Linked DNA regions of Drosophila melanogaster. The protein of the gene in region 1 purifies or fractionates together with the protein of each later gene. This does not show direct contact. Each region holds a gene or a part of one and is shown in the gene's direction. Other genes may lie near its edges. The genes, in order: yuri and Tm1.

Region 1 (8,231 bases):
CACAATCTGCAGCTCGGACGGAATGGCCTGAGCATACGAGCGGCATTGATATGGCGGATACTGACCACGATTATAGATGACCGCCAGCCAATAACCCGAATACATAAATATATCAATTAGTGCGCCCCGAATCGTAAAATTTCGTTTCGCAACCCATTTTGTAAGCCTGACATTCAAAATTCAACAGTTAAAAATGCTATTGGATAAGGCACCACCATAATTATTATCCCTCTAATATATTTCTTGATATTCTCTAATTACTGTTTATGGTCATTTCTTTGCGCATAACAAGTGTATAGCAGTAAGCCCAAACAACCACATACACACCTGCTCCACCACCACCCCATTCAGAGCCACAACCACACACACCACATCCACCCACAAGAATCGTACGCAAAGCAAGATAAGAGAAATAATGCATAATGCAGCCCCTAATTGTAAGCAGCTGAGTAAAAAGGTAAAGAAGCAACAACAGAAATATAAGCAAGAAAATATTAATAACTATAAATATAGCTAAAGTAATAAATTTATAAATGAATTATGAATTTTAGAGAGCGTTTGATGTACATTTATACGTCGTCTGTTTCAATCCAAATAAAAACATTCATCCCACGTTTTGAGATGCGTGTGAACAGAACGTAAGGATTGCAATGACTATTCATATTCCTCTATCTTCATTTTTTGTGTACGCCCAAAGCAACGTGAAGTGATTATGATAATCTGTACGAAAAAGTTGTTTTATCTATTAGTTGATATGTGGGAATCGATTCCAGGCATATGTAGGCAACACTTCTGTAATGGATTTGAGTTAAGTAGGACACACATAGAATTGATTTTGAAAAACAATTTAACGCCGAACCGAAAGCACGAAAACGGAAGCAAGCAAACGCGATCTAAACACTGTAAATAAATTTTGTTCTTACATAAAAGAGAAATCGATATAAATAAAACGTATAATGAGCGTTAACACAGTTGTTGTCTATCTTTTAAAAGGATTTTAAAATATTTTCAATGAAATGCTTTTATTCGCCTGTACAATAAAACGAACTTGGTAACAATTTAAATCTGCAAAAAATCTACTGTTTTCAATTGGTGCCCAACATATTGTGCTAATCGTGTAAAATTTGGGATGGGCAATAAGACTTAAGGATTGGCATAATCATTCTCTGAATCATTCGAAATTTTTTAGTTCTTAATCTTTAAAATTCATGGTTTTTGCAGCTTTTTTCCAGCTATTGTGTAACCGCGTTGAACGACCATATCGGAGTTATCAATGCGACCAAACAAACTTATCCATGGGCAAATATACACCGGATGAGTTAACAATTATACGAAATTGGCAGAACCCCGAAACCGCAACTTGGGCAAACAGCGATGACTTTCGCATATTGTGTAAGATACATACATACATATGTATATCGTGAGCCCGGCCAGAAATTCAGAATGCTAAGTTCTTGGGTAAACACACGCAGCGATCCAATTCGATTCCCCGACGCACTGATAAGCGCTGAGAGTCCGTCGAGTTTTTCAACTCTCTAGAGAGCCGCTCTTGGCCGGTGGTGGTGGGGAGCGAGTGTGTGGAGCGGAGCGCTCAGTTCGGTTTCGTTGGCGATCGCGAACGGAGCGCAGACGAAACGCGCGGTATTTGGATCGTGGCAAGAAATAAAAACAACAACATGCTGAAACCGTATACTTAATACGCGTGTGTGTAGCTCAAAAACAAGAAAAATATAAATAAACAAAACTACATTGCTACGTCAGAAGACTGCAAACAAAAGATATGAACGCAGCGCGCTGAGCTGCTCTTGACGTCGCCGCCAAGGTTCGAATCAGATATATTTTCTCTATTTTTTATTTTTTTTTCCGCCCATTTTTGTGTTGTTTTTAATAAGCTTACAACTTTACAAGTGTTTTTTGTTGTGATTTTTGTACTTTCGTGAGTGATTTGTGATTTGCGATTTGCGTGCAGTTGAAGGCGAGGAGAACTGCATTCGATCTTTCCGATCAGCAGTGCCTTGAGATTGCCGCTTTCGAAGTGAACGTTTCGATGTAGAAACCTTAAAGTCATACTCATGTCTAATTACACAAGCTATTCCCTGGCCGACTAAATCAGCTCTTAGTAAGAAGAACGTGGTAATTACATTTTGAATTGATATCATGGCCAGTCGCCAAGCCGGTTTCGTCCTAGACGCCAAGTCCATGGGTCTGAATCCGTCGAGACCTGCATCATCGCCACCGCCACCACCATCATCTGCCAGTCAAATGTGTCGGCAAGTGCAGCCAACCGGAACGAGTGCCTCGCATCCACATCAAGAATCGACGCTAAAAGCCTCATCTCCTGATCGGTGCACTGCCAGCACCGAGGCGATGTCCACCGAACATTACCGCTGTCTGATCCAGAAGCTGCGGGATACCAACGGCGATGCTGGCGATATGAGCTTTGAGCTGAACAGCATATTTCTGAAGCGGCTGGACGAGATTGACTGCCTAGATGAGCACGAGGGTGATGACATGGTGAGATTCGTTGTAAATCAAGGATGGTATCCATTGAAACTAATTCCTAGCAAAATCCCCCTTGAGATAAATTATTTTATATGACCCATTTTCATACCCTTTTAGCACACTTGCCAGTTGCGTCTGGTCACTTTTCAGGAGTGGGTGGATTTCCTGCTCCACGTGAACAGCGTGATCCTGGGCAACGTGTCGGACTTGGAGAAGGAGGCGTACAGCAAGATCGTTGCCTGCTGTCAGTCTGTCCAAGTGCGACAACAGCATACCCTCGAGGAGAATCGTAGGCTGCGTGAGGACATTTGTGCGATCATAGAACGCGTGCAGCATTCTCCTCACTGCACCGACTTTGATTTCAATGGCATTTCCCTAGAGACACTGACCGTTAATCAATTGCGGGGCGTGGGAAAGGATCCCGCCCACGCGGAATGCGAGAGCGAGAAGGTAGGCCATAGATCCTTGAAGGGAAAAGGCGGCGGTGATTCCAATGTCAAGTGGGACCCGAAGTCGTCCCACAAGCGCGAGAACTCTAAATGATTGTCTCGCTAACTAAATACGTATATTTTGTGCTGCTCTTAATAAAATTTGATATTTTGTTCATCGATATTTAATGCTTGGCTTTGATTGGCGTTTAACTTTGTTCGCAGATGTCCGAGAGCATGAAGTCCTTAGTCGGCGAGATAGCCGCCAAGCATGACGAGATCGGCGAACTGAAGTCACAGATCAATGCCTTGGACGAGGTTGTACACACGGCCAGGCAGAAGTTACTTTTGAAGGATCAGTGCATAGCACAGCTCAATCAACAGGTGAGATATCCTATTGTGGCATTACTCAACCAGAAATCTGCATATGTGCATTGTGTGCTTATGGAAGGAATTTATTCAATTCGTTGTTTTAAAAACAAAAAACAAAAACATCATCGTCGTCAGGTGACGTTACTCATTATTGAGCTCAGTTTAATTATAGATTCATTGGAATACTTTTCTTATCGCTTAATCGGCTGCTTAAGCGTACAATCGAAAACCTAATCGAGTATCTTTTTAGTGAAATACCGAATTTCTTGGTAAAATTTTCAGTGTATTCAATCAAAAAGCACATCGAAACTTTCTAACTAGCTTTTTTTTAACATTCCAAATACCGTGAAAACAGCTGCACGAGATCACCCGGTGCATTGAGTCCAGAGATCAGGCCAAAATGGAGGAATCGCCCAACGATACACTGACCGCGGACGCGATTACAAGCGATATGCTCGAGAATCTCTCGATCCACGACACCCAGGAGAGCGAAATGCTGCGGCTGCTAAACGCGGAGCTCAATGATCTTCTCGATCTGCACAACAAACAGGAGTTCCAGACCATTGAGATTCGGCGAAAACGTGTGTCCTGCTTTATCGAAAAACTGGTGAGGGATTCGACTTACATATTTCTGAGCTTTAGCATATCCTCATTAATTACACCCTTCTTAATCAAAGGTATCCGAGCGTGAGGACACTCTGAAAAAACTCGAGAGCATTCGTAGTCATCTGACAATCCTTCAGTCAGACCTCGATCAATCCTGCCTAATCTCCGTTGATCCCGAATCAGGGCCCTGTGATCTGGACGCGGATGCTCAGATGCTGGAAGCTCTACGTAGACGCCTGCTCAACCTTAGCCAACTTAATCGAGAACTGCACGGAAAGTACCAGCGCCTGGACACCGAGTCGAAAAGTGGGTATATCCGATTCTCGATACTTTTGCTATAACTATTTCCCTATTTGCAAAAAGTCAAAATTTCAGAGCTGGAGGCGAGGATTGAATCGGAAAGCAGCGTTCTTCAAAGAAATAGCGATGTTCTAAGGGAGATCGCCGAACTCATCTGCTCGTTGGTGAGTTAAGACTCTTCTCTATTCTGCAGGATTGCAGGAAATGCATATTAAAAATATGTGCATCATTTCAGGGTTCCAAGGAGTTCTCCTACAACGAAATCTACGACGAATCCTCGAAAGAAAATCCATTTTGTACGACCATTGCGGATATGTTTGCACGGAAATTCGAGCAGGAGCAAAATCAAGTGGAAATTGTGAGTATCTGACGGCTTTGATTGCATCGCAAATAACCAATAGCCGATTCCAATAACCCCGGTTGTCATATCAAATGCAGGAATGCGATACGAAAACACCTTCCCAAACAAGGAAGCCAACCAAAACCACCAAAATCCCGGGAGCCACGGCAAAAACAAACAAACAACAACCAACACCTAAACCTTCAAACAAGCCAACGACAACTAAAACTATACCAACGAAAAACACAACTACAACGTTTAGGACCTCCAAGTAACTATGTCACTTGTTGGGCCTCCTAAACAGTTAGTCTAATCTAAGCCACGTTAAGAAGTTTGTATAGTTTAGCTTAAAGTTTGTCGTTCTTAAGTTATTTATCATCGCGATTGTTCGCCACGAAAACTCAACTCCACTCAAATCTATATCTATCTATATATGGTTAAACAGAAACTAGAATCACAGATTGCTGAAATGAATAGTTTTAATGAAATGAACTAGTTTTAAATAAAGTTTCTTTCATATCCCAACCAAATTATGAGCTTGAAATACATTTCCGATTTACGTTTCAGCACATAGAACTTTCTTCTTATGTGGTAAACGACATTCGCCTTCACATATATACTCGGTACAGTATATACTCGGTAAATCCTGGCTGGATTGACAAAAGAACTACTGTTGCCATTCGAGTCCCCGATTTATTTACCCATATATATATATATATGAATATATATATATTGGGCCCAGACACAAAAGAAAGAGATCCACTTCACTCATCCCGCCGGGCAAATGTCTACATACGACAAATACAAATCGTTCGCCAATGTGTTTATTGTGGAAACTCGGCTGTATGTTCAACTGCAATTGCCCCTGAGGGGGGAGCACCTTCTGCCCTCCAGCCAGTGGAGCTGGCGAATCGGAAATAGGTTTCGTGTTATTTATTTACCCACAATCGACACGCGATTCCGGCGAGCAGTGATATGCATATTGATGAGTGCCGCCGGGATTGGGACTTCACTGACTAGGACTGCTCGTGATCCGCGTGACTGCAAGGACCACGACCATTTACATCGATCTCGATCGTATGCACTAAGTAATTCATAATACCGAACCAACTTAAATTGAGCTCAGTGCAAATACAAATATTTAGTAATTACCTAAATAAATGTTTATTTAGATATGACTAATTCCCGAGGTGTGAACAATAAACAAAGTCGTCACCCCTCACGCCATCATCTCTTTGGCGAAACTGTCGGGCGCAAAATCAAACACAACTCGGCAGGAAGCCCCAGCAGGGGAGCAGTTCGCTTCAGAATCCTGTCATCCGTCGGCGGATTTGGCCGTTTAGTCGCGTGAAGCGAATCAAGGAAGCGCCAGGAATAACGCGCCAAATCCTCGCCAGCCAATTTACGAGGCGTAATTAGTCGCCTAAGTCGCGCTCCGTCGATTTGATTATCTTTTCGGCGCGAAAAACGAAAGGAAAATCGGGCAATTAGAAAGGAGAAAGTTGGCCAAAAGTGCAAATTGTTTTCGAGTGCTTTCGCAAAGAGGGACGCGAAGTGCAGTGAAGAAAGTTGGTGCTGCGAACCGTAAATGTGCAAATGGAGCCGATGGAAAAGCGAATTGTTGGGCTCCGCTAATGGGTTTAATGACAGACAAGGAATCATAAGAATTCATTGCCCCCGTCCCAATCGATTTTCACATTTCCCCGAGCCTGAGCTATCAATTTCGTAGTACTAACCCCCCGCCCCACCCACTGCAATATAATATGCCTTTAAAAGTGTTTTAAGTGCGCCGAGCCACGCTCGCCCAACTCCCCTCCACTCATCATTCATAAATATCCATATATCTATCGTATCCAAGAAATAGACAGACGATATAATACTATTCGCTGCCACCCGCTGCAACTAACTTTATTTTCAAATCGTGTCAAACAGTCGGGCCGCGCAAATAATAATATCTATAAAACTAGGGGAAGTCACCCCCCCCCCCCCCACTCAACCATCCTTCACCCCCCACCCCTTCAAGCACCCAACAAACTTGTGTGTTGCCAAAGTGCCAAAGAAGCGAAACTTTGAAACCGGAAACCCGAAACCTTGCCACCTCCTACGTTTCGAATTGGTTTTATTTTCGTGACAAACTTTTAATAGCAATATTATTGAAATGAAATGAAACGGTAATGAAGCCAAAATTCGTCTGGGGGTCATATTTGCGAGATATATTTGCAAGCTCGGCGGCACGAAGGCTCCATTTCTAGGCATTCGACACCGAAAACGATTTAAACACATAGATATGTACATCCGCGTATCTGCAATCGACAATTGACAACTGACAGGTGATTTCGTGCGCGGATTTGCAGGCAATTAGTTACCGATTTCCGAGTGGCCATGGTAAGCCTCGAGAATAGCGGTACCAACCAAGTGAGCCACAACTCAATTTGAATTTGTAGAACACAGGCAACAGCTCCACCGATTGCCCCCACCGCCAGCAGTTGGAGCACACGCTGCTCCACTGCCAGACCGAGTCGGATCTACTGCAGGCCACCCGGGATAATTACCTCAGCATCATCGATGAGTTCAAAAGGGATCTCGAGGAGCTGACCGAACAGGTGGAGCAGCAGCAGCAGCAGCTGCAGCAGAGCTCACTAGCCAGCCAATCCTGCCCAGAGCCCGAGCTCCATTTCGTCGATCAGTCACGGATCAACTGTGAACTGGAGATACAAGTTGGATCCACTAAAGCACACATTTACCAAATTGCTCCTAATCGTTTCTCTGATTTCTCGCCCACTTTTTTCCCCACCAGAACGGACAACTTTCCTGCCAAATCAAGGGACTGCAGGAAAATCTAAAGGATCGAGATAACCAGATTAGCCAGCTGCAGTCCATGATCAATAGCTACTCCGATTTCAGCGAGAACAATCGGCTCAAAGAAGAGATGCATGTCCTCAAACAGAAGAATTGTGAGAGAAAACTTATAATTTTCAATTAAAAGCTCTTTCTATATATATATATATATATATGTATACTATCAGGTGATCTATCCCGCCAACTGCGAGACCTCCCTTCCCTGCTGAAAAACCAAGAAAATCAAAGCGTGGAACTCTGCACGAAGTACGAAAGCCTGATGGCCAGCTTCGAGGATCAGTGCCAGGAGCTCAAGGACGCCAAGAGGAAAGCGCAGAGCCTGCAAACGCGACTGGATCAGGTGGAGCAGCTGCAGGATGAGCTGAGAACAGAGGTGGCGTATCCGACTATTGTCGTCCTTGGGCACAAAGAAAACTGAGGTATTATGAATTTCAGCGCAAAATCTTGCGAGAGGAGGTGGTCGCTTTGAAGGAGAAGGAGGCTGTGTCCTCGGGCCGAGAGCGGGCACTTCAAGATCAACAAAAGAGTGCCCAGTTGGAGATGGAAAAGATGCGCACTCTTGTTCGGAAAATGCAGAGCCATCTGCAGCTGGATGACATCCGGCATCGCGAAAGTATCCAGCGGATGAACGAGACAACTGAATCTCTGCGGGAGGAGTTGCGCACCATTTCGGAAAATTGCCAGCAAATGCAGATCCGCCTAAAGTAGGTAATTTTCCAGGATAGAGTGCATCCATATAAGAGCAGCTGCCATGTTCTCTCTTCCCGCCAGTCAACAGACCGAAGTTAACCAGCAGCAGGAACAGATTATCGACTCCTTTCGAA
Region 2 (4,958 bases), on another chromosome or scaffold:
CTTGTCTGAGCCAAGCTGAGTGCTACACACTCATGAACTTATTTAATTCGCGTATATTTTGGAATTATGAAAACTTTGGTTTTCCATAACTAACACATGTCAACGGGTCGGATTCGATGGCCATGATTTCGTTTTCGTATTTAGCAAGTTGCTCAGACTGTTTTGCTATTTTACAATGTTTTTCGACGTTTTCTCAAGGGTCTTTTCCATGTCTATGTCTTCTTTGTTTTTTTTTTTCTTTGTCTTTATAAATATATTGATCTAGTTTTCTTGCTTCGAAAACTTTTTGTTTTTAATGAATACAATTACGTCATTTTGTGGGTGTTGTTTGAGTTAATTTTAAAATTTTCATCAACCTCGGACTGGCAAATGTTCTCCAAGATAAGAGAACAACAAAAAATGGAATAAGTAAATACATATATGTATATATGTTGGGGCTATCAAATTGGCTTATATTTATAGGTTTATATTTAAAGACTTTAGTTGCATTCGAACATATAAGATCTCCAACAATTTTGTTGGCGATAAGATTAAAAGGGCGTGATCAACGAGTAAGCAAGCAATCTAGAAGGGCAAATATGCATATCACCAGATCGGAAACTCAACGATTATGGGGAAACTGAATTTCAACCGTTTTCACGTTTGCAATTTAAAAAAGCATGAATCATGGATGCATTTTCTTGCGAGACAGTTACAAAAAAACGTATACTTTCATATGTGACATTTATGATTGCCAGCAAAATGTTTTCCGTTCGCAGACATGACGTTGAAAAATCTATAGAAAGAGCTTTAATATATAGAGCAGAAAATAATAATCTGTAGACCTATGGGGGAAATACGTACGTATAACTACGTGAAACAAGATTTTTTGGCATATCAATAACTGAAAATTAAAAATAGAAGTTGAGAACATCAAAAAGCAAAACAAAACGATCCCCAAACCAATACACTCTCATCGGGAAAAGAGACACGATTGCCTAAGTATTGGATATATTTTGCAATGGGCAAAAACACTGGGTGAAAAGAGCTTTTCAAAATACGGGGAAATATTCAAAAATAGGCTGAAAGAAAGGCATTCGATTCGAAATGAGTGAGCATTACCCATACATGTGCAGCGAACAGGTGAAAGCACCAAGGAAAGGATCGGAAAAGAGAGGCAGAGAGAAAGCGGAGAGAGAGCGCAGGCGCCGGGCTTGAATGTGTGTGTATAAATTGTAACTGTATTTGAAATTCTGATCTTATGCTTTCCGTTACACTGGCAGAAATCGGATAGGAACATAAATTAAATATATTACGGGCTGAGGGGTAAAGAAATGTTGTACAGCTTTCTTAACTGGCATAGCCCATTTCACTTTGGAGTATTTTCTGAATGAAAAAAACATTTAATATAATTTATAAATGAATTTCAAAATTCAAATTTGTAATAACAAAAGTAGCATGAGTAAATGATGATAAATGATAAGTGCGACATAAATTTATAAATACATTAAATCAAAAGTGCATATTAAATGTCCTGATATTAGAAAGCATGCATGATTACATTAAATATGAGTATATAAATAAGAACAAATGCACCCCTTTGTTGATTTCGCGCAGTGTATAAGCTATTGTACCCCGGCCGAGCAATTTACCGATGCTCTTGGGGTAAATTGAGAGCCAAGTGCAGTTCCAAAGTAGGCGCAGACAGCAACAACATATGCTCGCTTTTGGCCGAAAAGTGCGCACTCTCGCACACAGATACTCACGCACACAGGCGCACTAGCGCGGCGGCTCACACGCACACACACCAGCGCAAGCCGCTCGAAATCGACCAAGCGGCGAGCATCGAACGTCAACATATTGAATAAATATTTTCAGTTGAACATCACAATCCGTTCAAGTCGCGGATAACTCCGAATAAAAGTTTTGTAAGTAAAAAGGAATACGTTATCGTTGATCAGTAAAAAATTATACAAAAAAAAATACAAAGATATCGCTGAATATTTCCACAAAAATACTTGTCGAGTGCTTCAAAAATAATTTTAACTGTGCTAGAATTCGATTCTTATTTAAAAAAAAGGATCGAACCAAAAAGTATAATTACATAACCACAACGTTGCTGCAATATCTAACTTAAAATCCACCAAAGTGCTGTGCAATTCTCAACCCTAATCATCCGCAAGTATTGAAAAAAATTGAAAATTTTCCCAGTTAGAATCGAAATAAACCCAAATAGAGGTTAAGCACCTTTGCAGATCGCGAAAAAAAAACTAAGAATAACGATTCTGGGGACCTTGTCAAGTTTGTCTGCTAACCGCAAGTTGCTATATAGGGTTTCAGCTAAACGTATTTCATGAGATATATAAACATGGTCAGTGGGAACTTCGAACGATCTTAGATTTTAGCGGCAGAAGTAAAGAATTAAGGCAAAAGGAGGATTATCGAGCTCTCTTTCCTCCTTTCAGAAACTAAAATTGTCATGTTGTATATGAGAAAGTAAGGGAATCATTCTTAAGATAAAGATCAATGAGATAGACTTCAAGATAGCTATCCTTGCTATGGAATGGTTTCCTGAATTATAATTTTCTTTAATCCAAAATGTTTAGGAATTCATTGAGCCTATTTTCCAAGTAACTGGGCAACACGCGCATTTACTTTGCAGTTTTGTATCTTTGAAATCTGATCCACGACCGCTGGCCCTAGCTGCCAAATGAATCTGAAGCGAACGTAGGCGAAATGCGCCAAGAATTTCCCAGAAAGCTCCCTTCCTCTCAGCTTAGTATTAAGTAATATCCGTGGAGAGGCTAGATATTCAACAGATGCCTCGGCTGTCCTATTTTTAGATACAATCCGTGTGTGCTACAGATACTAAACAGTGAAATAGAGAGCAGGAAAGCTGCTAGAGTATCGCCCAAGGCATTTGGCTAAAGAATCTATATGCATTAGACCCATTTGAACCAACGTGTGTATATATCGTACTCTAAGAATAGAAAATTCTGTATTCTGTATGATTAAATTCCGAATTTTCCATGCGATAATTTGTAAATTTTGTGTGGAAAGGTAGATCTTATAAGGTCGGATACAGATGGAAAATATCTGTAACTTGTAAACTAGGCAGAAAAGTAGGAATTGCGAGGTGCCAGTTCATAAGGATGGCTTGTTAGTTGGCCATAGTTAGTTAGATATAAAAAATGAGTTATACATATACGCATTTTGTTTCCTGAAATATTAACTTTGTTCCTAATGATAACGTCATTTCTTGATAAGGATGATCTTAATACTCATAAACCTCTTTGGTGTAGGCCCATTTTTCGATTATATATATGTCATTGCCGAAAGTTATAAGATGTCATGGGAATTTTGTGCTGAATCAACGCAAACATAACTCAATGTGTCACCTTAATCGACTTATGGCCCATACACATGCAGATTTATATATATATATATATGTATATCTGTGTGTTTTTTAAGCGAACAAAAAATTTGCCTCGATTGCGTTTTCATTAAAATTCAACGTTTTTTTTTTTTGGCTTTGGCTTTATTCGATTGGCGCTTTTTTCTCCAATGCCACTTCTCTTCGGCGGATCAGGCACAGGAATGTAAACAGAGTTTTTAAAAATAAATGCATGTTTAAGGCAGAACCACACAACAAATGACAGCGATGAGCCGTAATAAAGAATTAAAATTTCACGCGGCGAAATTCGAGTCAATTAGCCGCCGGCTGCACTCGGTTCGAGCCATGACAAATGTTGGTCAAGTGGGTTTCGTGTTGGCCAGGAAAGGCAAAGGGGGTGTCAATGGGCACCAAGGAGGGGCCAAAAAACCCACCAGCTGCGTTCACATTGAGTCAGAAGTCTGGAGCTGCTCGAGAAAAGGGGCAATAGCCCAGTGCAGCTGAGTGATTCATCTTGGGTTTTTAATTCGAGGATGGTAGCTACAGCATCTGCACTTTACTGATAAGAATGCAATTCCAAGATAAAGCGCACATTTGTAAATATAAATTGATTTGAGTAAACATATATGGCACCTAAGAGTATGCAATGATATATGTTAGTTAAAAAAATATATTAAATGAGCTTACTATCATTTCAAATCCTCATTCTACTTTCGAAGATTTAGAAGACTTTATCTATGCAGCAATTTCTTGGCCCAGATTGGAATCTACTGACACAATTTTGGCTGGTGACAGAACTCTCTATTCGAGAATGTACCCAGTTCGTCCAGCTTCGTTTGGCTCCACACCACGCGATCCGATGTGATCTGCATAAATAAACACCCTGCTTTCGGTGTTTCGAAGTATATCCCAGAAAATAAGGTTCAATTTTAGGTATTCTCGTTTAAATGATTTACTGTGACGAGATGAGAAAACACTCTCAAAGTTCAGAACATCAGCGAAAGAATCGGACAATAAAAGTCGTGAAGAGACGCCGTCGAAATATTAAATTCTCAATTTATCAGTTGGCTAAGCTCGAACAATGCGACTGACTGGCATCGAAAAGGGGGCCTTGGTTGTTTCGGTTTTGGCCAGGCCGAATAATTTATTGACTCTGCCACCTTTCGTCCAAAAATGGCTATCCATTATTGCAAAAAACTCGCTGTGTAGCTTGAAATGGAAGAAAGATCTGCCAGTTATTTTGATAACATGCAGATAAGATGGGAGCTTTAAAGTTATGAATTTAAATACATATATGTGCAGAAATCAGATTGCAGGATCCTCATGTAAATACACAAGTTATAAAATTGCTAAATTAATCATAAAATGCAAATGCATTTTCCATATAGTTTCACTTTCGCACAAGCCATGTTTGGACTTGAATACTACTCCCCTTGCACTTGCTGATTATCGCATAAATCTGCTAATTGCTTTATTGGCTTGCACTTAACCATGGTTTTAGCCGCAATCTCATCTCCATCTCCATCTTCGTTTCCAATTGCAGTTTCTTTCGAGTGCAGAGTAGCAAAACAAAACAGACATGGAT

What was found.
Region 2: the proteins of yuri (region 1) and Tm1 purify together in Drosophila melanogaster (affinity purification with western blotting, with the first as the bait; one study listed by BioGRID). This does not show direct contact.

Annotation. Positions count from the first base shown.
Region 1 is NT_033779.5:15,258,053-15,266,283, reverse strand, and holds the start of yuri (yuri gagarin), read left to right. Parts: upstream 1-2,056; 5' UTR 2,057-2,157; coding exon 2,158-2,514; intron 2,515-2,619; coding exon 2,620-2,952; coding exon of another isoform or gene 2,953-3,045; exon of another isoform or gene 3,046-3,117; intron 3,118-3,155; coding exon 3,156-3,314; intron 3,315-3,481; exon of another isoform or gene 3,482-3,657; coding exon 3,658-3,909; intron 3,910-3,979; coding exon 3,980-4,214; intron 4,215-4,271; coding exon 4,272-4,372; intron 4,373-4,443; coding exon 4,444-4,566; intron 4,567-4,646; coding exon of another isoform or gene 4,647-4,823; exon of another isoform or gene 4,824-5,075; intron 5,076-6,540; exon of another isoform or gene 6,541-6,930; coding exon of another isoform or gene 6,931-6,933; intron 6,934-6,992; coding exon of another isoform or gene 6,993-7,265; intron 7,266-7,345; coding exon 7,346-7,502; intron 7,503-7,574; coding exon 7,575-7,780; intron 7,781-7,842; coding exon 7,843-8,111; intron 8,112-8,178; coding exon 8,179-8,231.
Region 2 is NT_033777.3:15,279,697-15,284,654, forward strand, and holds the start of Tm1 (tropomyosin 1), read left to right. Parts: upstream 1-1,853; 5' UTR 1,854-1,907; exon of another isoform or gene 1,908-2,161; intron 2,162-4,916; 5' UTR 4,917-4,952; coding exon 4,953-4,958. UniProt on the Drosophila melanogaster protein: Tropomyosin, in association with the troponin complex, plays a central role in the calcium dependent regulation of muscle contraction.